Linked DNA regions of Drosophila melanogaster. Changing the gene in region 3 together with the main gene of any one other region gives a genetic interaction. Each region holds a gene or a part of one and is shown on either strand. Other genes may lie near its edges.

What was found. A genetic interaction does not mean that the proteins touch.
Region 1: of lok (region 3) and spn-D, changing one suppresses a phenotype caused by changing the other (phenotypic suppression), as found in Drosophila melanogaster (2 studies listed by BioGRID).
Region 2: of lok (region 3) and armi, changing one suppresses a phenotype caused by changing the other (phenotypic suppression), as found in Drosophila melanogaster (3 studies listed by BioGRID).

The regions. Positions count from the first base shown.
Region 1 is NT_033777.3:27,162,185-27,168,849, reverse strand, and holds spn-D (spindle D), read right to left. Parts: upstream 3,135-6,665; 5' UTR 3,047-3,134; coding exon 3,027-3,046; intron 2,970-3,026; coding exon 2,748-2,969; intron 2,691-2,747; coding exon 2,584-2,690; intron 2,528-2,583; coding exon 2,370-2,527; intron 2,215-2,369; coding exon 2,086-2,214; intron 2,030-2,085; coding exon 1,853-2,029; 3' UTR 1,728-1,852; downstream 1-1,727. Other genes in the region: CG34293 (uncharacterized protein), read left to right, coding at 3,322-3,418, 3,480-3,637; ppk31 (pickpocket 31), read right to left, coding at 3,719-3,882, 3,938-4,044, 4,138-4,344, 4,400-4,848, 4,913-5,129, 5,178-5,291, 5,719-5,726; CG5909 (uncharacterized protein), read right to left, coding at 6,071-6,665.
Region 2 is NT_037436.4:3,457,735-3,468,041, forward strand, and holds armi (armitage), read left to right. Parts: upstream 1-3,582; 5' UTR 3,583-3,728; intron 3,729-3,806; 5' UTR 3,807-3,840; coding exon of another isoform or gene 3,841-3,936; intron 3,937-4,369; exon of another isoform or gene 4,370-4,386; coding exon of another isoform or gene 4,387-4,569; 5' UTR 4,570-4,606; coding exon 4,607-5,050; intron 5,051-5,127; coding exon 5,128-5,556; intron 5,557-5,622; coding exon 5,623-6,225; intron 6,226-6,282; coding exon 6,283-7,245; intron 7,246-7,314; coding exon 7,315-8,118; intron 8,119-8,174; coding exon 8,175-8,498; 3' UTR 8,499-8,580; downstream 8,581-10,307. Other genes in the region: eIF5B (eukaryotic translation initiation factor 5B), read right to left, coding at 1-1,106, 1,214-2,364, 2,438-2,508; CG46463 (uncharacterized protein), read left to right, coding at 3,841-3,936, 4,387-4,569; CycJ (cyclin J), read left to right, coding at 8,805-8,888, 8,952-9,138, 9,216-9,638, 9,692-10,158. UniProt on the Drosophila melanogaster protein: Probable RNA helicase required for axial polarization of the oocyte during early and mid oogenesis. Plays a central role in RNA interference (RNAi) process, a process that mediates mRNA destruction of translational repression.
Region 3 is NT_033779.5:20,059,836-20,067,735, forward strand, and holds lok (loki), read left to right. Parts: upstream 1-1,586; 5' UTR 1,587-1,885; exon of another isoform or gene 1,886-1,946; 5' UTR 1,947-2,041; coding exon 2,042-2,228; intron 2,229-2,312; coding exon 2,313-2,470; intron 2,471-2,709; coding exon 2,710-2,818; intron 2,819-2,898; coding exon 2,899-3,336; coding exon of another isoform or gene 3,337-3,350; exon of another isoform or gene 3,351-3,483; intron 3,484-3,542; coding exon 3,543-3,777; intron 3,778-3,836; coding exon 3,837-4,140; 3' UTR 4,141-4,546; downstream 4,547-7,900. Other genes in the region: barr (barren), read right to left, coding at 1-517, 577-888; vls (valois), read right to left, coding at 4,551-4,737, 4,790-5,166, 5,224-5,763; bwa (brain washing), read left to right, coding at 6,926-7,063. UniProt on the Drosophila melanogaster protein: May have a role in germline establishment.

The DNA of each region.
Region 1 (6,665 bases), on a different chromosome or scaffold from region 3:
CAGTCGGCGGCAGCAGTCGCGGGGAGCGCAATCCTTTTTGGCCAACATTTGATTATCTCACGGCCAGAGTGGAGCAGAGTGGCTCCTCCTGGAGCCGCAGCTTGTGGCTCTTGCTATCGGGCGCTGCCATCGGGGCGGCGCGGTGTTGCGGAATTAGCCACTCTGGGCCTGAACTTTGGCGTTGCACGAGGTCGTGGCCAAATTGCCAGGCCATGCTCGGTAACTTGGAATGTTTGTTGGCTTTTTGCTTTTTGTTTTAATTGAAAGCCGTACGAAATGGAAAATGGGAAATGGACTTTCAACTTGCCAGCTTTGTAAATTACACACACGAAAAGAAAAATGTTTTAAACTAATGTATTAAATAATATATTATGCATAACGATTTGCCAGAAACGAATATAACAAATACAATGATAGAAAAACCAAGCTTAACATTGCCTTTTAATGATTCCAAAATGAAATCTATGCCAAATCTTTTTTTTGTGATCCCAAAATCTTTTTCCAATCACATCGGAAACTTTTTTCGGTGCCACCGACTCAGTCAGACTATTTCTAGTCTGCCCAAGTGCATTACAGGGCAGTTGGAAATTTATGGCGGGCCAGGCGGTGTCGAAAATAGCGCCAGCAACTCCGCGATGACGACGAAGACGATGCGAGCCCGATGTTGATAGCTATAGCTTTCCGTCGGCTGAAGTTACTTTCTAATGCTGCAGTCACAGAGCGGCGATGTGGATGTGGATGAGGATGCATTGCACACGAAAGTCATAAGCGCAACCGAGGCAATTAAGTTCGAGCGACAAGTTGCGCCGCTGGAAGCCAGGAAACTCGGCTAGGATCGGGTGGGATCGTTGGAAACTGGGAGGGGAGCTCGGCTCTGCAGCTGTTACATGTTTATGGCTCGAAACGGATCGCACGTAATGGGATTTGCGCTGAGCGACAGCGATAGCCTGTGACTGCACCAGCGAACTCCGCCAGGCAGTGAGCACCAGTCCCAGTCACTTCCACCGATTTCGATCCAGCGACTAAGCCATATGGGTAGAGCTATAGCCACAAGTGCTGCTTCGACTCCAGCGCCTCAATAAAGCCGATCGCATTACCAATTAGGCGTGCACACTCGGCTAAACAGCCGCCTCCTTCTGGCAAGTGGAAATTGAATTAGTTGTCGCTGCATATGCGTGACTAGCTGCTGCCCGGAGCTCCATGTTCGCTTACGGAGTGCACTGGAAAAAAATAATGTATGCAAGTATTTGGATTTACTTTTCCAAAAGTGGCGCATTGCATTGTACACAGCAAAAGTTAAACATATACATTATAAATGACATGAAATATAACCAAATGAATCATTTGAATATTCATCTATACAATGAAACTTTACTTTTTTCCCGTGTATAATCAAAGGCCGCGGGCTAGAGATCGGCAGTCTGGTTTGGGTGTCGCCGTTCGTATGTGTAAACACTTTTTACACTTTGCCACATTCCTGCGCCGCGCGCATAAATCAGGCGTTGCTCGCCTGTCAATCTGGAGCTGCGCCATCGATAGGCATCGGGCTCCTCGTGGAGTGGAGGTGACCGGTAGAGCTTTTAGCAAGTGCTCAGCACCTGGCTGGGTGTGCGCTAGTTGCGAATCCGTTTTCTGTGCCACACCGCATCATGGCAAGTGGTTGAGGATGCCGTTTGCCAATGCTGCTGTTGCTCCTCTTTCCTGTGCTAATGCTTCGATTCTAATCTCTTGCTAAACATATTTTTATTTTATAGAAAAATTATCATCTGATAATTGCATATTTAATCCTAATACGCATGTACCTATTTTTAACTAATGCTTAAACTCGACACAAAGTAAAAGTGATGTAGCCTCATTCGGATTCCTTAATTAATCTACTCGTTCGCCACGACTTGCCCAGGTGAAGCTCAGAGCTGCCCGAAAACCAGATGCGCTCGTTGATCAAGTGCGAATGCAGATCCCCCAAGGCGGGCTCCACTTGGAACTTTTGCTTGACGTAGCGATGCGTGAGCACATTGGTGAAGACCCACTGCCGGTGGACGGGATTATAAAAGGAAAGGAAATTGATCGATTGTGAGGACTTACGGTCAATTCGTGTTGACGTTGCAATCTCCGCATGCTTTCATGCAGTTCCAGAAGCATCTCGTAACGATGGGCGCCATCCTCAAGCATTCGCAGAGTAAAAGCCAGGGAGTCGATTACAATCAGCTTAATCTAAGGAGACAGTTGCGTTTTTAAAGTTACAGAAATGTCTTTCAATTGGTTTGGCAAAAGTATGGATTTTTGTGGTAACACCACAAAGGACAAAGTACAATGAGAACATTTTATATTAGCGAAGAAAGGGATATTATAAATACATGTAATATTACATCGGGATGATCGACGAGATGCCTGTGGCAACTGAGCACAGTGGCCATTAATTGATCCAGTTTCGGGCACCTCACATAGTGGATTTTCTGCAGCATTTTGTGAGCCTTAAATTCTGGAACTCTATGTGCATACTGCCTTTCCAGTTTCAGAGCTAGGCCTAGAAATAAACTTTGTTTAGTTATACCACAGAAATAGTTTATTCCATCTACTAACCCATTAATCTGTCAGGATGGAAATCCTGCCTGGTGTCTATAAATAATGCACTGCCCTCCAATCCACCAGCTGCCTTGGGAATTTGTACATTTAGGCAAAGTTGCAAGCTATCATATACCATTTGTAAATTATAGTTAATAACGAAATAATAGTTAATAAAGTACCACATTTGCGTCTTTCCGGTGCCCGAATTGCCGATCAGTTCAACCAGGTGACCCAAGGATATTCCACCTCCAAAGTGAGTGTCCAGGGCTTTCTTGCCCGTCAGGATCTTATTTGAGGCACTTTGGGAAATGTCCCAGCAGGATTTATCAAATATTCGAAAGTTTTCATGGGACACAGATGGTCTTCTTTCAATTGCTTCTGGTTGCGATGGCTCCCAAACCCTTGAAAGACACAAAGTTTATAGGGATTCTAAAAGTGTTGTATTTGATGGAACCTACCGAACAAATCTATGATTCATTGTAAACTCCTGACTGCTTAATCCTTTTTAAAACTCTTAAAAAACAAAAGATGGGATCGCAAATAATCAAAACAATCGCGCCATATGATTTTACAGTACTGTTAAGACTTAACATTGCAGTGTTGTGTTAGTTAACTTTTAAGAGCTGGCTGCTACAGAAATACGACTTCAAGCAATTGAATTTTCATAATGTCTGGCTACACCAAATGTCATATGGTTTTTGTTTACAACTTAATTTCCTGCGACGCGATTTTATTGGACTTTAGTCATTGAAAATGTTAAATTTAAAACACTTTGCCAGCCACGCCTACCGCCAGTACGAACTGGTGACGTGCGTGAACATGCTGGAGCCCTGGGAAAAGAAGCTGATCAGTGAGTATCGATATTGGGAGACAAAGCCAACTGCTAATCCGGATTATCTGCCCTCAATCAGATGGATTCTTTCTGGTGATGCTGCTCCTGGTGCTCTTCTCCAGCTTCATGTATCTTCCCAACTACATGCAAACCCTAATGCAATTTGTAACGCCGCCCAACTGGCACAATTCCCCGGATAGCGCAGCCTATGTGGCACAAAAGATCGCACGGAGCTGAGCTCCTACTACCAACTTCGTACAAGTGCATACTCCCTATAGAAAGACAACTATGATTTAAAGCTTATAATATTATTGTGATTTACGTCGACTGGTCCAAGATCTGTAAATATTGAACTGTGCCAAGAAAAAACCGCTTAACCCACTTCACAATCGTTTTTCTGTACCGCAGACAGATAACAATGGTCTCCACTATTCGCAAGGCGGATGTGTTGAAGAACAGGCCAACCAGTCCTCCAAGGGAAACTGAAAAGGCGGAATTGAATTCGAAACTATTATATATATGGATAGCGTAGCTTACTCAAGAAGTCCAGTATAGTCTTGGTTACGCGACGAACGTATCGTTGTGTTGGCAGTTCAACCAAGGCCACGCGGATTTCGGACACTTCATCTGAGGCTTCATCATCCCTTAAAGTTAAAAGATACATTTTTAAGTAGCCCATTTACTTATTTCAACTCTCAATGTTAAATTGTGCAAATGAAACATCCTAATGTGCTTACTCATCAGCCGAGTTGTATATTATGTTGTACTCCGGCTCCTCGCAGGAGCTCATGCACTCGCAGGACTTGCGCTCCGTCATGATCTTGTCGCGGATCCGGGTCAGGCAGATCAGGCCCCGAACGTCACAAACGGGCAGATAATTCTGGCCGGGAATGGCCATAAAGTGACTGGTGCAGTTGCAGTTGTCCAGTTGAAGTAGCACAGTACTAAGGATTATACATAAATCTATGAATTAATTATATTAACTTTATTAAGTATTACCACTCCACCACGCAGCCGGAGTAGCTGTAGAAGTCGTAGATTCCCTGTCGCTCCGGCACATGCTCATGGCCATAGCGACATCGCCGCTGCTCCATGCTTAGGTCCTGAACACTCTCGTCGTTGTGCACCTCGATCACGTTCAAGATCAGCTCCTTGTAGTGGCCCAGCAGCACCGTTTCCCGTATCATGCCCTCGGAGAACTGGTAGGGCACATCGATTGGTGCATGAACGTACAGCTGAATGTCGGCGGCGGCATGAAAGCTTAGATGTCCCGGTCCCGTCATCCGGTTGTTGGTAAACTGGAGATGGGAAACTTTGCGTGCCTGATGCGAGTTGAAGGAGAAGCACAGCCCATACTCCGTGGGCAGGGGCAGAAACTGATCGCAGCAGTCGAACAGCTTGTTTAGATACGTACAATTCACCAGCAACTGATGGCACTTGGTGCGAAACTGCAAGGATTCGAGGATATAGATAGGAGCAAGTACTCTGAGCAAGCTGGGCAACGCAACGCACCACGTCCACAAGGTGGGTGAAGTTGGACGGACATCGCATCCTGGAGCAATCCTCGCAGCTACTGCAGACGCCTCGATAGAAAACAATTTCCGAAATGAAATCATCTACGTGCATATCGTGCTCCACGCCGAAATTTGAATCACTCAAATCCCAAATCCTCTCGGCGTTATAAATCTCGCACACGGTAATGGCCGGAAAAGTAGAGTTCCAATTCAAGCTAGAAAATTTGAGTTAGCTTAGATACTTTTGAACTATTTGAACTTACTATATAGTATCGAGATTAAATGAAACCGATGAGGAGAGGTAGCTATTGAGCAGCGACAGGGAGACATTCGCAAAGAAGGGCAGCGTGTGGTAAAAGGTCACCAAGTAGAGAATCCTGCAATAGAAACAAGATTTGTATTCGAACTATATGGATTACATATAGTAGATTACATCTTTAGCAAAAATGCGTGGAAGCGGCTACTGCGCATTGTTAACTATTCGGCGGAGAAAAGGAAACTGTTTGCCCAAATTTTCTTTTCGGCTGCGAGCTTTTGGTAACAATGGGCCGCATGATATCCATCTATCCATTGTTTCCGCTTTGGCCTACATTAAAATAACTACCCAGTTTTATTGGCTTGGATTTAGTTCAATGTTGGAGTCCACATAAAACAGACGCGTCTGGCGATTATTTAAATGGAAATCCTTAAAAGCATAAGTCATATTGGACTTTAAAGGTCGTTGGTCAGTATTAATCACTATTAACTTGTCATATATCATATAATATATCCAAACGTATTCCCAAACAAGATCTTAGGTCTTACATGGACATTAACTGCAGCGGCTAACCGCAAATTATAGCATACCAATCACATGACCATTATTGATGACTCAGTTTTCGATCAAAAGTCAAAGCTGTTAGCTATATGATATAGAATTTCTAAGAAATCACGTTTTTATAGAATGATCACTCTTCGAAAGATTTATGATTGTTATTTTTGCATTGGTACTATAATGCCCCACCGAGTTAAAGAATTGCATTTTAAATATTGCTGCTAATAGTATTTATTAAAATAATTTACAAATCTAGATAATCCTGCGGCAAGAATTCTTAAGACTAGAATATAAAGAATATAAATAAGTTGGTGTCTTGAGGAAAGAGAGTATCGGTTGGCACTACTGAAGGTTCTGCGTGATCCAGGGCAGCATGTCGATGACACTGGCGAAGACTCCTGGCTGGTTCTGTCCGCATAGCCGTCCGCCGAAGGAGACCACACCGTACTGGACCACTCGGTAGGTGTTCTTGAAGCGATGCTTGAAGAACACCGGTCCGCCGGAATCTCCCTGGCAAGTGTGCTTGATCCCAGTTCCTGTGGCGCAGATGTGGTTGTCGCTCACCTCACCCTTGTTGTAGTACTGGCGACACTCGTTCAGGCTCTTCCTGGTGATCAGCGCCTGTTGGAGCTTGGTGGCCACAGTCTCCTTCTCGGTGCCGCCCCAGCCGGCGACGAAGAAGCTCTGATCGAAGTCCAGTTCCTGTGACTTCTGGTCGATTGGCAGGCAAACGGGCTTAATATGCGATTTTTCCTTGACCACGCGATCCAGCTTGATGATGGCAACGTCATGGCTGATCTTGCCATGCACGTAGTTGGGATGTACTCGTATCTGCTCTATGCCGTACTCCTCGTAGGGCGGAATGCATACGCGGTTCGTACCGCCCAAATAGTGGCAGTCCTCCTCCGATTCCAGGTCATGCTCGCCCAGGCGCACC
Region 2 (10,307 bases), on a different chromosome or scaffold from region 3:
GTACATCAGGCGCTTGGCCAGCATATTCTGACAGAAGTCGGCGATCATAAAGAGCAGGTTGCCCATACCCTCGCCCGAAATGGCACTGGTGGGCACCAGGGAAATGTATGTCTTCGGATCGGTGTTTTCGTAGAATAGAGCAGCATTCAAGCCCTGCTCGGCGAACTGCAGGATCACGTCCTTTGTGCGCTGCTGAAACTCCAGCTGTGTGTTGCTCTGCTGCTCCTTGAGAACATCCCTCACATCCCGTCTGGCCAACTGCTTCCAATCGTACAAACGATCGATCTTGTTCAGGGCCACAATGAACGGACATTTCTTCTTCTTGAGCAGCTGAATGGACTCGATGGTTTGTGGCTCCAAGCCGTGCATAATGTCCACCACCAGGATGGCTATGTCGCAGAGGGATGATCCTCGGTTCCTAAGGTTGCTGAAGGACTCGTGGCCGGGTGTGTCGATGATCAATAGACCAGGCAAGCGATGTTCAAATCCAGCGGCCGCCTTTACGTACTTAGTCTGCTCCTTAATTGCTTCGATGGGAACGTTTGTGGCTCCAATCTGCTGAGTGATGCCACCCGCTTCGGAATCCTGAACGTGTGTGCGCCGCAGTTTGTCCAGGATCTTGGTTTTTCCTGTATCTACATGACCCAGCACGCAAACCACTCCAGCTCTGAGTTCGTCGGTGGAGCGCTTCTTTTCCGCCTCTGCTTGCCGTTTTAGGATTCTGGCTTCCGCACGCAGTCGTCGTGACTCTGGATCATTGGCCAACACCGATACTTCACGGGAATCGTCACTATCCCCATCGGAGTCATCGCTGTCATCTTCATCATCGTCGTCATCTTCATCGTCATCTGTATCTTCGTTCTCTTCCTCGGCAGCCTCGGTCTTGCCATTGTTAGTGGCCTGCGACGTTTCTTCCTCGGGCTCTGGCTCAGCCTCACTATCGGTGGCATCCCAACTCTCCTTGACCCTCTCTTCCTCGGCCTTTTCGGCAGCAGCTGCAGCGGCAGCAGCGGCGGCCGATTGGGCTTCCGCTTCCGCTGCCTTGGCCTCCTCTTCGGCGGCCTCTTCCTTAGGGCCCTTCTTTTTGTTCGGACGGATACGAGTTCCTGAAAGACATGAATCAGTTAGTTGAGATAATAAGCTAATAATGTTACAAGGCAATACAAAACTGAGGTCGTGGCATACAAATTTAGGAAGAAAGCCATTTACATACCTGGCCGCGTGGGTCGCTTGTCGTTCGGATCGGGAATCTCGAGACCCTGAGCCTTTAGAGACTCCAGGAGAGCCTGTGCCCTAGCCCTATCCTCCTTCTGCTTCTTGGTGAGCAGTTTTCCTTCCGCCTTCAAGCGAGCCTTGCGCTCTGCCTCGCGCTGCTTCTTTTTCTCCTTCCTCTCTGCCTCCAGACGCACTGCCTCCAGGCGGGCTTCTTCGCGCTCATCCTCCAGGCGAATTCGCTCTGCCTCCTCCCGCTCCAGGCGCTCCTCCTCCTCCTTTCGCTTTCTTAGCTGCTCCTGCATGGCCGCCACCATGGAGGCAGACATACCCTTCTTCTTGGCGTCCTTCTTCTCCTCCTCAGGCTCGGCCTTTTTGTCTTTCTTGCCCTTCTTCTTGTTTTTGCTGGACTTTTCCTCCTCTTCCTCGGCGGCGGGCTGGACTTCTTCCGTAGCCACAGGCTCGGGTTCTGGCGCAGGTTTCTCCACGGGCTTCGGTTTGGGTTCAGTAGCTGCCTTTTGCTTGGCTAGGGCAGCCTCCCTCTTTTGGCGCTCCTTCTTTTCCTTCTTTTTCTGGGCTGCCGACTTCACAGTGCTGCCGCCCTCCTCGTCATCGCTGGCCTCATCCTCTCCGGCGTTTTCTGCCACTGCAGCCTGCTTGGCCTGCTTCTTGTTCTTTTTTTTCTTGGAGAACTCATCGGCCAATTCTTCGGGGGAAACAACAGTAGTGGCAGCAGGAGCAGCCTCGCCGGCGTATTCCGCTTGAAGCTCAGCTAAAACCTTGTCCAGATCTTCATCGTCGTCGTCCTTCCCCTTGCGTTTGGCCTTTTTGCCCTTCTTTTCGTTCTTCTGTGGCTTGGAGACCACTACCTTTTCCTCCTTCTCAGACTGGCTTTCCTGGGCAGCTGGCTCGTCCTGCTCGTCGTCGTCCATTAGCAGCTCAAAAGCCGACTTCTTAGAAGCTTTGCCCTTGGCGGGCACCACCTCCTCCTCATCGGAGTCGTCATTTTTGCCTGCTTTGCCTTTTCCCTTGACATTAAGCTTCTTGACCCCCTTGGTCACGGCTTTAACATCGTCATCGCCAGCTTGATTGCCCTTCAGGGCATGATTCTGCTTGTTGTTGAGGCTCAACTGGTCGCTGTCCACATCGGAGCTGTAAGATTGAATAATTTGCGATAGAAAGTTTGCCAAGTTGGCAGGTGGGCATGAACTTGCACAAGACTCACATTTCGTCCACCGAGGAACCGCCTTCGACCTTGGTCAGTATCTCTTTCTTGCCCTTTTTAGCTTTAACCATCTTCCCGTTTGCGACTGCAACACGCTCCTCCTCTGGCCGAAAACAAAAAGCCGTGGGTTATTCACCGCTGAAAGATACGCACACGCGACGCCTCGGCAGCCAAGAAAAAGAGGAGGACTGTCCACTGGGTTCTCCTGGTGCTGGTGATCTTCTGATGGTGACTCCGCTTCGGTGGCTCCAGCGACGACGTCCTGCTCCGGAATTGTGCAATCGACGGCTAGATCTGACACGGCGCTTTGCCAATTTTTGGTTTTATTTAGCCGAGGAAATTCTGCACACAAGCACGTTGTCGAGTAGTACGGTGCGGGAGGGTTGGACAGGCAGTGTGACCGTGCGAGTGGATTGCTGAAAATCACAATGGCTGAGCTAAGGTTATCGATTATACCCTGTAATATCCAGTTGAGCGGGGTATTTTTGTTTTGAGTCTATAGTTGTACATAAAGATATATTAAATATATATACACCTTTTTCAATAGAATCGCGGCCTCGGCGCTGGCGTGCGCTGTTTACGGGAACCATTTATCGCCTCTGGTGCTCAGTTTCTTACTCATCAGACATAGGGCAGTTGGTTTTATTGGTTTTCCTAATTGGTAAATTATTTCAACTGCGAAAAGTATTGAACATACTCTTAAATAATATCGATCACTAGGGTATTTATGGAGAAAGAAACCATCTATGGACTTTTTTACACATATACTCGAAAAACTTTCCGGATTGCGGAAAGATATTTGGCATATTTTGGAATTTGATTGCTTATTTCTTAAATGTAAGTGACAGATAACTAACAGGTACTCTTGAAAAAAAGATAAAAGAATAAGAACAAGTTCTTCGTGTGTATTATTTTTGTGAGGAGGTAAATTCCAAAAACAAAAACTTAAATGTGGACTGCCGATATTTTATATACTTTCTTGAGTTCTTTACTTTACATTTTTGTTTCATTTTATTTTTGAGAACTTTTTTTAAATAAGGAAAATATAAATACATAAGCAACTTCCTCACGTTTCATATTCCACCGCTTTAATTTGACACACTTTAAGAAAATACCACAGCCAAGGATATTTTCTACGCCGCTAAGTCCGGTCACACTTAAAAGTTCGCCAAGACGCTTTGTGCTCAAAATTTTGCTCGAGAGTTTTTTCGAATACTATGACTATTTCCCATTGAACTCTTAAAACTCAAAGTGCAGTGCATCTACTAATTCAACAGCGTTAAGAATATTTGTAAGTACGAGTACAAATAGCAAATCCGGCTGTGCATTTGCAAAAAGCCGGTAAGGAACTCACATATTTGGTCCACAGCTTGATAACCAAGGTAAATCCGCGTGATTGGACAATGTCCAGCGAAGCATCCGGAAGTATAACCATCAAAGAAGAAGCATCTACAAGCGGTACGGCCACCAATATTCCCGTTGAATCCAGTGAAACAGAGGTATGAGTTTGTTGTTGTTGCCATCCTTGTTTTGGCGTGGTAGAAGGAGACGAAAGCAGTGCAGGAGTAACTGTTGCTGTCGCTTTTCTTGAGACTTTCGTTTGCTTTTTCTCCATTCAAACTGTTGCTTTTTTGCAGTTATTTTAACAGCCTAGACTAAAAAACAAATCACTATTGAATTCAAGAACCCTAACACAAAGTTTTTAATTTTCCGTTACAAAACATACAGAAAATGTATACAAATGTTAATTTTTTTATTTTATATATGCTCTTATAAATACATTTAAATTTATAAATAAATATTCTCTAAATATTTCAAAAATTGTCCGTAGAAGTAAAACAACAAAATGTTGTTAAATGAAAATTGTAGGATATTTAAGCCTTCGGTGTCATAGAAGGTAACATTGTATGTTCTCAAATGTTTACAATACAGATGGTCCACATTTCCAGGCTAAGAAACCCGAGATCGGAGCTGACAAGGCGGAATCGCAGAGCGAAACCACCGAGGGCGGGAAGGCGGCGGAGACGACGGAGAACCACTTGAAGCGTCTGCAGAATCTGCGCAAGGAATTGAGCTATCTCAGCGAAACCGACTGGATGTACGAGAGTCTCGACAAGAAAGCAGCGCAGTAGGAACGGCAGAGCATTTATCGGCGAAACATTTTCAAAAATGTTCACATACGTTAGCAAGTTTTTCACGAACCCGGATCGTAACCGGGAGGATATTCTGGAAAGTTTGGATCGGGAGAATAGCTTTTTAGACCAAAAACTAATGGAGGAGAAGATGGATCAACAGCTTAAGGCGAATCCAAACGAAATTAATGGGGTTTTAAGTAACAAGATCGCTGAGCTTACGCATGGACTTTCGGAAATGGACGTGAGTAAAGAAAGTTCCTGCACCGCCAGAAAGGGAGTGATCACCAGTCTAGACGGCGATCGGGGAGTCATCGACAAAGACGTTTTATTCGAAACGAAGGTGGCAGAGGATATCATCTTGGATCTACACGTCGGATGTGTAGTGGAATATTTGACTTTTACAACGGGGGAAGCCATGCGGGTGGTCAAGGTGAAGAGTATCCTTGAGCATTCCTGGGAGGACACAAGCCAAAAGGAGGTAAGCTCATCGGTATTAGATTTATTAGCCATTTGTTAAAGCCAATGCTTAATATCTGTAATCCTAACTTCTATTAGATTGAAAAAGCTGTAGACAACCTGAAGAACGAAAAGCCGACATTCTTTAACACCGAAACAAGGAGCGTTTTGGGTCTGATTAGCCAGCGTCTGGCATCTTCCATAGACGTCGAAACGGAATACGGACAGCTGACCGTCGAGCTAGACAATATCGAGATGAACTTCATCCCAACGAATGGAGATCGAGTGCGCCTAGAGTGCAACATTCAGCTGGATGACGGTTTCGTGGACAAACAGGGAGAAATCCTAGAGGTGACAAAGTTGTTTCCCACCCGCATTCAGGAAGGTGAAAAGTGCATTGTGGAGCGCGTGTACGTGCACATGGTTGTGCTGGGTCCGGAAACCTACATTTTAAAGACAGACTTGCCTACAGGCACGGATCTTCATCTGGGCGACATTGTGCTCGCCGATCTCATCGAGTGCCAGTATGTAAGTTAAAGAAGGAACATAAAATCTTGCGATTTTCTTCTTTATACGTGTGTTTTAATTCCCCAGTCCAAATTTACGAGACGCGCCATTAAGATTACTCCGCTGGAGAAAAATTTTGGGGCTACCAAGCTGACTCAGCAGAGCAGTATGGGATCATCCGGCAGTGGAAAAGCAGTGACGGTGACTGGTGTAAATCGTTTCATCACCGCAGAGCTCTGGCAAAAGGAGAGCGTATCTTTAAAGCTGACCAACAATCTAAACCGCACTTTGCGCCTGGAGAGCATCACCGTCTGCAATGACAGTGAGTCTCAGTTGAGCGTGGTCAGCCCTCTCGAATCAAAGGAAATATCCAGCGGCTCCGAAATAACGGTGACCTTTGAGATCCATACGCAGTTCCTGGGGGAAGCAATCGAAAAGTACGTGCTGAATTTCGATCTACTCAAGGTGAGGCGCGTCTTCACGGTGATCGTGTGCAAAACCAAGGAGGAAGTCGCTGAAGCTGAGAAACGTATGATAGCAGCTGAAGCTTTGATGGCACCCGGTCGTAACAGCCAGGAGAGGTCCCGGTTCTATGCCAACCAAGTTTGGTGCAACAAGGTGGATGTAATCCCGGGACAACAAATTGTTACCAAGCGCAGATTTGTTGCTCTGCGTTTGGGTTGCTTTGAAGTAAGGAGTCCTCTCATTAAAAAATATGCTTATTTTTAATACTACCGTTCTTTTAAGGTGCCCAAAGAATTGCGCCAAATTTGTTTGACTAGTGAACGGCGACAAGAGATGATCAAGGCCATCGAGCAGCACTATTCATTCCTCACGGAACCCCTAAGCATTAAAACCTATATGCACCGTTTCAGATTGCTCCTACACCTCGAGGAGATCGAGTGCTTCGTCAACTTTCGCAACTACGACAGAGACCGAGCACACTTTCTGCGTGACGGAGAGTTCCTCACGCTGCAGATCGAGAATCTAGCCGAGCGTCGACCGTCGCTGGTCATTGGCGATACACTGCGAGTCATTAATCCCTGGTCGGATCCCGATTCCCAGACCACCAAGTCATACGAGGGCATTATCCATAAGGTGCTCTTCGATCGCATTTTACTCAAATTCCATTCCAGTTTCCAGGAGAAATATAATGGCGAGGACTATCGACTAGAGTTCTATTTCTCACGCTACAGTTTTCGCAAGCAACACCATGCCATCTCCAAAATTGTAGGAGTAATGGGCGAGGATTTCTTGTTTCCCAGCAAAGTAACCAAGCGCGAGAATCCCCAGCTGGATGTTTATATGAAGGATGACGACATGTACTTGTACGATTCGAAATTAGAGTGGTATAATCAGTCGCTTAATTCCATCCAAAAACGTGCTGTTTTCAATATACTGCGCGGTGAAGCGGAGAACATTCCTTATGTGCTGTTTGGGCCTCCGGGCAGTGGAAAAACAATGACACTTATTGAGACACTACTCCAGTTGGTTAGGAATCTGCCTGGTGCCCGAATCTTGGTGGGAACGCCGTCGAACAGCTCAGCGGATTTGGTGACAAAGAGGCTCATCGATAGCAAAGCTTTGCTCCAGGGAGATTTCATTCGCCTCGTTTCGTACAATCAAGTGGAGAAAGACTTGATTCCTCCGGAAATAATGAGCTACTGCGCCACAAGTGATGTCGGTGCTGTGGGCAGTTGCGAGGACAAAGTGAGTAGAAAAATTTTATCATTTGGATTGGACACCAATTAATCTTGGCTTTGTTGATATTTGCTATAGATGATGGTCACCGAATCGGGATTGAAGCTTCGCTGTCAAGCTAAGTTTATAGGTACTCATCGCATTACCATCTCCACCTGCACTACTTTGGGAAACTTTTTACAATTGGGGTTTCCAGCGGGCCATTTCACTCACGTGCTGTTCGATGAAGCTGGTCAATGCACCGAACCAGAAACAATGGTACCCATTGTAATGCTAACGAAGAAACGCTCTCAAGTTGTTCTCTCAGGTGATCCTCGCCAGCTGCAGTCTATTGTCACCAGTCGAATTGCCTCGAAAATGGGATTTTCCATATCCTTTCTGGAGAGATTGCTGGAACGGTCGCCGTATCGAAAAGATCTTCAGCGATTTCCCGAAAGCTCCGGCTACAATCCACTAGTGCTAACCAAATTGTTGTACAATTACCGAGCATTACCGTCGATTATGAGCATTTATAGCAGGCTATTCTACGATGACGAACTGATCCCAGTTCTTTCCGAAAAGGATTCAAGGGAATCTCGCCTACTAAGTAAACTGCGGTGTGTATTTGAGTCAGAAAAGGATATCCCTCAAGCGCACGGCACGTTCTTTTACGGAATCATTGGCGAAAACAGGCAAAATAACGATTCCCCTTCCTGGTTCAATCCCCAAGAGGTCAGGGAGGTGTTCCTAATGACCATCGCCCTGTACCGTGCCAATGTGACTGCCGATCAGATCGGTATAATCACGCCCTATCAGAAGCAGGTGAAGATGCTTCGGAGTATGTTCATTGGCACCGACGTGGTCATGCCGAAGATTGGATCCGTCGAGGAGTTTCAGGGACAGGTGGGGTCGGAACTAAAATCGATATTACGTGCACACTTAACGTTTGTTATTTCCAGGAACGAGACATTATACTAATATCCACGGTGCGTTCATCAGAAGAGATCCTGCGCATGGATGCCCGCTTCTCCTTGGGATTCGTGCGTTGCAGCAAGCGACTTAACGTGGCCGTTTCCCGAGCACGTGCCATGATGATCATCTTCGGGAATCCCCATCTTCTGGCCGTCGACGAATGCTGGCGCCAGCTAATCCTGTTCTGTGTCAAAAATAACGCCTATTTTGGCTGTGATCTGCCTCAAATGGTGATAAATCAGAAAGATGAGGTCCCCGTTTGCTTGGAAACATTCGTGCCTTCACTGAATACTACAGATGATTTGAACTAAGCACATATGACAGTTTATTATTAAATTAAAACACTTGTTATTGATGAATTAAAGTAACACAATTAATCATTAAACTTGTTTTAAATATTTGTACATATGTGCTAATTTTAGCGAATGGTAACACTCCCAAGCGCAGTCTGGGAACGCTGCTCGTTTGGCTTCGCAGTGTGGTAGCACTGGCCGGAACCGTTGTAGCGCCATGTTTGCGCTCCTTTTGTTTTCTCCTTCATTTGTTTTGCTTTTTTCCGCCGTTAAGTTCTTGCCTTAAAATCGGTGATTTAAGGCATTGCATTCAATTTCGATACAATGGAGCAGAAAGTGGCTGCCGAGCAGAACATCTTCGTCGTCGACCGCAAATTGAAGAAAACTTGCCCGCAAGCAGATGTCGAGGTGAACGGACATGTGCTTAACTTTTGCGAACCCGACTTTATTTCGTTAAATACCAATTTGTAGCGCCTGGCTAAGACGCACTGGCTCACCGACTATGCCCGGGATATATTTTTGACCATGAGGGAGCAAGAACTCAGCCGTCGGCCTTTGTTTTACCTTTCGCCGCAGCTGAACGAGCGCCGAAGAATGCTGCAGTTGCTCAAACTGGCGACCAGCGCCCACAAGCTTAGTCGCTGTGCTTTGCACCTGGGTGAGCACTGTACAGAGGAGCCTCGCTGCAGGCACAAAACCCATGTGCACAACTCATTGTAACTCGTTTCACTCCAGCCGTCTACTATATGGATCGCTTTGTTGATTACTACAAAATCCGTCCGGACAAATTGCTCCTGGTGGCCATCACTTGTCTTCATATAGCTGCGCAGATCGAAAACACGGATGCGTTTATTCCGCGCTACAGCGAAATGAACCGATTGGTCAAGAACGCCTATACGGCATTCGAGTACAAGGCTGTGGAAAGGAAGATCCTGTGCTTCCTGAACTTCGAGCTAATACGTCCCACCACCGCCAGTTTTGTGGAGCTCTTCGCCTGCAGTTTTCTCACTCGCTCCGATTTCAAGAACTACATCGAGATGTTGGATGAGTACGAGCGGAACCATCACACCCAGCCGTACCAGCGATATATAAGCTTCGAAGAGATGCTGTCCATTTTGGCGCAGTTGCTCCTTCGCATGGCGGATTATACATTGTACAGTGAGTATCGAATTCCCATGGAAGGTATTGGATACCACTTAACACTCATTCAGTTTCCAGATTTGCCAACGATCTGCCATCCCTTTTGGCTGCCGCCTGCATTGCTGCAGTTCGCCAGGTCAGCGGGGTCAGGCGCTGGTCGGAGTACCTAGTTGGACTGACCTCCTATACTGAGGCGAATGTCGAGCCGTACATGAACGTTCTGACCGACTATTATTATTACCATGTTATTCAGACCGACTACGGTAGTCCCTCTGTTCAGACCAACCAGAGTTTAGCCAGTCCCGATTCCGGATTCGAGGAGTCCTTCACTGAGAACACAAACCTGGTGGTCTCCGATGAAGTGGTCACAGTAGAGACCTACAACATAATTACCGTGCAGCTGCAGGATCCATCTCCACATTCATCGACTTTCCTTCCCAAAGAGCAAACGAATTTGAAGCGATCGCGCTTTGAAGACGATACCGAAAACCAGCACCCATTGAAACACGCCAAAGTGGAGAGTGTAGCCAAAGATTAGTAAAAGGGAAAAACGAAACTATTACCATTTGGAGGAAATCCAAATAGCTTAGAAGTGAAATGACATCCATAACGTAGATATGGTCTTGTTCAATTGAGTTGAACCTCACCCATATAATAATCGTGATGTTATGCTTTAATATATATGTA
Region 3 (7,900 bases):
TGGTGCTCATAAGTGATGTGGCTGGCCATTGTTCCATTTCTGCATTGAGTGTAGTGTGGTCCTGGACCTCCTCGGTGGACTCTTCGCTGTTCCAAAAATTGTAGGTGGTACGCAAGCGCAATTCAGAGTCGAAACTAGGAAGAATGTTGTGCATCAGACGATTGGAAGCATTTATAGAGCCCACAGTGGAGTTCAGCTTGCCAAACACAGGATCCTGCAAGGGAGCCGTATCCAGCCGGCTGTTCAGCGTTTCTCTGTTTTTGGTCACGGTGGATATGGGTTTCTTTTGCCGTTTGGGCTTCGGTGCTGCTTCTTTTGCTGCCTGTTGCGCTGAGTCCTGACCCTCGCCAGTAGCCTGTTCACCTTGGGGGCCATCATCATCCTCGGCAGCATTTATTTGCTTATCCGTAAGAGTTCGTGCACTCAAGCCAGCTGAAATGCGCATGGCGTCCAAGTAGATGGAGTCCACACGCAGGCCGTAAACCTTGGAAGAGGCTTCTAAAGAGGAACCAGCCATCTAGGGTATAACATCATGAAATTATTACATTTACATAAACTGAATGAGGCAAAACCCACCTTGAAGTTGCTCATGCGCTTGTGATGGTGATCCAGCAAATTGGCCAACGAATCGATGAGCATCAGGTTCCAGGCGTTGTCCTTGCTCACCTTGTTGCCATTGTAGAGCTCCAAGCAATTTTTGATGGTCTCATTGTCCTCGATGGACTCCAGAGTGCTCGACCGGTGATGCTGCTGAAGGAGCGTGCGACGTCGGGCTTCCCGCCTTTCCGCCTCGTCGTCGTTAAAGGGGGTTAGCATGCGGGACACCCCCTCCTGGTAACTGCCTACTGCGGACCGCCTGAGCGGAGTTTCTAAGCGGGGCAGAGTCATCCTTTCAAGGAAGTGGATAAATCAGAGATGAAGTCAGAGAACAGCACAAGGAATTTTGGTTGCCGTAGGCTGATGGTTTTGGAGAGTGTTAATAAGCACACTCACTTTTAATAATAGCTGTGATCCCAATTCGACAGTTTTGAATTTTTTGTTTTTTGATGATTTGTTGATTGTATTTTGTCTATTTCTGTTTTTGCGCTGGTATTGGTAATAGTTTACAGTTTCTTTCAAACGACGCCGCAATTTAGGGCTGCATTTCAGTGTTGGTTAAAACTAAAGGTGTGCCAAGCTAGCTAGATAATATGGACAGGAAAATCGCTAAAGAATTAGCTATAAAGTATTGCGGAATATAATTAACTAGTATAAACATGATACATAATTTTATCATATGAGAAAAATGAAATAAACAAACTTAATTTACACCTTAAAGCTTCGAAATCGAATAAAAACACGATAGCTTACAATGGAATTTCTTTAAGTTCAGGGCTGCACAGGTCCTGCCAGTGCTGAATGGATTTCAACAATGGATGGCCGTTAAATTTCAAATACATGTACCATATTAAAGAAACTACGATCTGTAAAGGAATTAATCTGTTTCAATACTTTTAGTTTTTTATATAATTTTCAGTCCGGTAGTTAATTAGTATTTTTTCTTTTGACAATAAAGTCTTAACCTAAGCAATATTTAATTTGTAAAAACCCTTAATTTTTCCTTGGGACTCTTGCCAACACTGGCGCTGATAATCACCCCATCCCTGGAAGGCGGCAACTTTTACACACACTGCCGCAGAAATTGTAGTCCCTCGCGCAGTTCACATCGAACCAATGTCGTGATTTTTGTTAGTTTTCGTTGTTTTCGTCTGATAAACTCTAAATAACTATCAGCCAGCGCTGTGCGAAAAGCTCGATGTAATCGAATTGGGCAGAAGAAACGCTCAGAGATTCAAACCCATAGCTTCTATAGATCTATAGCTTTTCCGAAGATCGGACTCCTCGTGTATGTGTGCATTTCTGCCTGTGGTAGTGCTGGAGTAACTGGACATTTCGAATTTACGCAGTTCCAGGCAAACCTAACGGGTTTTCCAGTTCGACTTGCGGAATAGCAGGAATACGAGATTACGGGGCTACGGAGTTTCGGAGTTTTGGAATCACTATGGCACGCGACACACAAGGAACGCAGGGAACCCAGAGTCAGGCCTCCAATATCTGGACGCAGGTGGAGAGCCAGCCGATGGAGAAGATAGTCTGGGGTCGATTGTACGGCAAGAACATTAAGATCAAATCGCTGGGTACGAGTTCAAAATACCGAATCATTTATACGCATTCGTCCTTTTCTGTTGGTAACCACATTTCCTCCTGTTTTGTGTCCCCATTGCGTGTGCTCCTCATGTATTAATGACGATCCCATGCTGAACTGTTTGCAGATCTCAACAACGACGAGTTCACCGCAGGACGAGGGGAGGCCAACGACTTGATCCTCACGCTCAACGATTTGCCCGAGAAAATCCTGACGCGCATTTCCAAAGTGCATTTTATCATAAAGCGGGCAAACTGCGAACTTACCAATCCAGTTTATATTCAGGTAGGTGGAAGTTCCAAACCCAAAAGCTCTGAAGGAAGCCTTGAAAAAAAAGATAGCAAATTCAGAACCCACAAGAGCAGAATTCAAATTAAGTTTTATTTATGTTTTGTTGAGATTATCAAAAAAGGTAACTTCAATATTGAATATTTCCCACAATTAATTTACAAAAAGAAGTTACTATTCCGTATAATTCCGTATATTATTAAAATGTAGTAACCTTGTTTCCGCCCATTTCGCAGGATCTCTCACGCAACGGGACGTTTGTGAATAACGAGAAAATTGGCACAAACAGGATGCGAATCCTAAAGAATGACGACGTAATTTCCCTGTCCCACCCAACGTACAAAGGTAAGCGATCGACAAGCAGGTATAGCTATCGACAAGGACTCGCAAGTAATTTGATGTTTTGCACCTGCCCTCCCTTGTAGCCTTTGTATTCAAGGATCTCAGCCCGAATGAGTCGATCGGGCTTCCCGAGGAGATTAACAAGACGTATTATGTAAATCGCAAGCTGGGATCTGGAGCGTACGGACTGGTGCGTTTGGTCTATGACACCCGCACCTGCCAGCAGTTTGCGATGAAAATCGTTAAGAAGAATATGCTCTCTGGGGCGCGACCCAGTACCAATTTCAGTGATCCCGACCGGGTGCTGAACGAAGCCAAGATTATGAAGAATCTTTCACATCCGTGCGTGGTTCGCATGCACGACATCGTGGACAAGCCGGATTCTGTGTATATGGTGCTGGAGTTTATGCGCGGCGGCGACCTGCTTAACCGGATCATCAGCAACAAACTACTTAGCGAGGACATCTCGAAGCTTTACTTTTACCAAATGTGCCATGCCGTCAAGTACCTACACGATCGGGGTAAAACAAATTAGTTTTATTTGGGTTCGAATGTGTTGCTGATTAAGCAAGCCGTTCATTTCTGTTATGCAAATAAGTAAGTCTTCGGAATGGTCATTGAAAACGCCCTTAATTGCAAATCATTCCTGCGCCTTTACGAATTTGCTAGTACGACTACTGCGAACACATCAATCGAATTATTCAACTAACTAGTTTCTACCTTTCAGGCATCACCCATCGTGACCTTAAGCCTGACAATGTTTTGCTGGAGACCAATGACGAGGAGACCCTACTGAAGGTCTCCGATTTCGGGCTGAGTAAGTTTGTGCAGAAGGACTCGGTTATGCGCACGCTCTGTGGCACACCTCTCTACGTGGCCCCTGAGGTGCTGATTACCGGCGGCCGAGAAGCCTACACCAAGAAAGTGGACATTTGGAGCTTGGGAGTGGTGCTATTTACTTGGTAAGTCATTATGTTATTCTCCTACGAAGATAACTTAGCAATATACTCATATCTTGCAGCCTGAGTGGCACTCTGCCCTTTTCGGACGAGTACGGCACCCCGGCGGCCCAGCAAATAAAGAAGGGCAGATTCGCGTATGGACACCCTTCTTGGAAGAGTGTCTCGCAGCGCGCCAAGCTGCTGATCAACCAAATGCTCATTGTGGATCCCGAGAGGCGACCCTCAATCGACGACGTTTTGCAGAGCAGCTGGCTGCGCGATGCGCCCATGCTGCAGAAGGCGAAGAGGCTGATGAAGCTCGATGGCATGGAAATCGAGGAGGAGAACTTCCTTGAGCCACCCACCAAGCGATCGCGACGCTAGGTTTCGTTTCTGTGTTTCCATCGTTAATACGTGAGGGTCGAGGCGCGAAAAGGTTTTAATTTTCTGGAAAAATTAAGCGACAACATTTTTCCCAAAACGCCGACACCGCCGCATCCGAGTGTATTGGCGAATTTAAGTATTTTTTGCGGTTGTTAATTTTTACGTGTTGTCTAGTGTAAGTTTCATCGCCCAAGCCCGGTTTATCCTGTTAAACTGCATTTAAACTGGGCTGCTGCTTCACAATTTTTTTAAGATTCCTATCGATTTGAATTCTGCCATTTCATTGGACTATTATTACGATTTATTACTTGTAACTGTTCAGTAACTATAAGTGTTAAATGTAAGAATGACTCTTCAGCAAACCATTCCGCTTTTTGAAATAAAGCAATTGAATTTGTTCGGCAGCAAAATTATTTGATAGCGTGCGTCACCATTTTGCGGCCATGTCCAATGGTGATGAGGGTGCTATCATCGGTCCAAACGGCATCAGTTAGGCGAGAATGGGTGTCCTGGTGCGTGTAGATGAACTCATGGCCCGCCTGCACATTGGCCACTTTCACGGAGGCGGGCAAATTGCTCATCGCAGCCAGATGGGGCCTGAAAATATGTGCGTTAATGCAAATCGTCATTGTTTCGCTTAAACTTGTACCCATTGATTAATAACTGGGCGACATGGCCCTTGTCGAAGTATTCCCTGGTTTCCGCCAGTTTTCGTGGCACTCGAATGTCCAGAGTATGAACTTTGCCGTCATAGTCCCCGAGATAGATGTGATTGTCACCCTGCAGCTCCGAGGCAGCTGCCCAGGCGGCACTGGTGAAGCTCAGCACGTGGCTGGCATCCGCATAGAGGCACGTGGAAGATGGAGCCGCTGCCCGGACATCCCAAAGGCGGGCACAGCCGCCACGATCACAGGTCACAAATTTATCGACTGAAGCTGCGGGTGTGGCCAGGCCAGTCAACTTGTCGGTATGCGAGGAGCGCGATCTGTAGGTGCTCACCATATCGGCGCCCGAGAGATCCCAGACCTGCAAAAGGGTAACATTTGTATATTTTCCATACATCCACATCACCTTTATACATACATTGAGGGTACTGTCCGCTGAGCCCGAAACGGCAGTGCGGGGATCCGCCTTGAAGACGCTCAGTTGGCTGATGGGTGTGGGATGCGCACTGGACTCGCCCACGAGGAAGAGGCAGTATGGCGACTGAGAATCTCGCACCTTGGAGTATGTGGACCAGGCCTGGAGTCGGGTATCCCCAAGGGCCACCAGTAGGAAATCATCCTCAGCGTAGCGCACAATGTTCACCGTGTGCTCCGCCTGCAGCTTGAAGTTCGCCGAGTCCACGCTCATATGGTGCATCTGGTCGCGTCCGTAGCCGAACAACATGCCCCACCATTGGCGTCCTTCGCGTCGGTTTGTGGCCAGGGCCAGGTGGTTGTGATCATTGATAGCGATGCTGTCCCAGCAGTCGTGCAGTCGCGGCGAAAGGTTTTCCAATCGCGCGTTTAGGTCCGCAATGTTGAGGTTCGGGTACTCCAGATTCCCGGCCAGCTCCAGTGCCGGCGGAGGCTGGTGGGTCACCGGAGTGCGGTACAGCTCCGAGCTGCGTTGCGGGAACATCGTCTCTCACTCAAGATTCCGTAAAACAACAGAGAATCGGCCAGCAAGGAAGAGCAACGAGCCCGGCAAGACCAAATACATCGATTTGTGTACCAATCGAAATATCGATATTATTAGACATTAATATTAGAGATAATCGCGCGAGCTGGATACTCTGGAGTTTTTTTTTTTTTTTTTTTTGATTGGTTTATTCAAAATGAGTTCGTTTATTCCGATTAATATCAGTATTATGAACTCGGAAAAATGTATACTGACCTATTTTAATAATTTTTAATTGCACTTCTTCACGAGTTGAGATGAAAGTGTCGATTAATAGAAAGACTTTGAAAATACGTTTTGCAAGTTTTTTTTAGCATTTCTATTTACAGCTTTCATTTTCAAATTGAGCAATCTTGGTGCGCATCATCACTAGGAGGACATCCAAAATTATGATAGTTAGTCATTTATAGATTGGTCAAAGGATTGGTTAAAGGTTCAGAACACGTTCAGAATTCCTTACTCATTTTTGATAAAATTGTGAAGGATAATTTTCAAGAACAACACTTTAAAATGCCATAAAGAATATATTTATTTATATAACAATAAGACTTCCGATACAGGAGTTCCGAAATCGCCAGGCGGTAATTAAAAAAAGAGAATGGCGCACTTTACAACTGCAAAGTTTCTACATTACGTTTACATTTCACATTGCTTAACGGTATAGTTGTGAGCAACGGTATTTTTTAGGGGATTTCCCGCCACTATGGACATTTACCGTTCGCTTGCAAGCGGTCACACAGTTGTTATTTTTGTTTATTATTATCGCGTCGCTCGTTGCGCGCTGGTTTATTTTTTGAAAAGTGCGTTCCTAGCGCGAGTGGTCAGCGTCCCAAACGTCGTAGATTCCATCGCCTGAGCCATCAAGAACTAAATATTTCCTTACATAACTGCGGAATACTTCGACTCTGCAGTAAGCCACGCGACGGAAGGCAATCAACAAAGACACGCAAGTGCTTGCACACTGGGCTATTATGCAAATTGCGCCACTGCAGCTGGTCTAAGATTGCAAGGAAGGGCGACAGAGCAACACACACACACACAAAGTGCCTGGGCAGAACGAGCGGAACCGCCTCCCCAATCAGCTGTGATCTCTGCGGTCGGGCCTCCATCGAGTGGGCGGAGAATGGGCGGGATGGGGGGCGGCGGGCTGCTGGACATCTACGCCATGGCCTGGGAGCACCTAAGACCCGGAAGCTCGCCCGTCGACTGGTGCGAAGGCAACTACTTGATTTCGTCCAACATCGCCGAGTTCGTGAACACGGTGCGTATGTGCGATTTATTTAACGTTGTATGTAATTTGTGCGCTCTGCTTTCGCTGCCCCACTTAGTTGTCCCCGCAGTGGTCGTAGTTGCTCTTCTCACCCCTTCGCAGACAGCTGCTAGTTTTCCCTTTGAATAGGCCTTGACCTTTTTAGAGCGAGACCGACTGGCAACGTAAACAAAAGATGCTGTTTGCCACGCTTTGTTTGCGTTGGTGTGACGATGGGCTGGGGGTGGGGGTCATTTTCGCACCCGGAAAATGCGACACCCGGAAAATTCAGTTTTCTTATCGCCCTGAGCTTCACACCTGTCCGATCGATATAAAACTTGGTATTGCGGACAGGGCAAAGCATAATGAACACTTTGTCCTCGGACTGGAAACTTGTGTCTCTTCAGACTTGGCCGCTACACGGACTTCAAACTAAGTCCTGCAAGGGCTAGCTTCTCTCATTTGGTTGTTATCATCTCTTTCATATATAATATGATTTATATAACTACTTTGAACCCGGCTGTCCGATGTTATTAGATTTGAAATATGTAGATTATACGCTCGCGATTTCATTTAGTTAGTCAGCCGTTTGCATTTGTCATTATAGTAAAACAGCCTAAACAAATAGCTGTGCTGGTGGTAATGAATGGCATCCGCATTAATATAAACGTTCTTACAATCGTAACTCGTAACTCAATATGTGACGGGCTCACTTTCATTAGGCCTTATCAAGGTTAATCGTCTGAAGCTAACCATTGATAGAAACGCTGTTTACGAAAACAACGCACTAAAAGTGGATCAAAACAACATTTTTTCTGATATTCTAATTAACAATATAAGTAAGTGCAA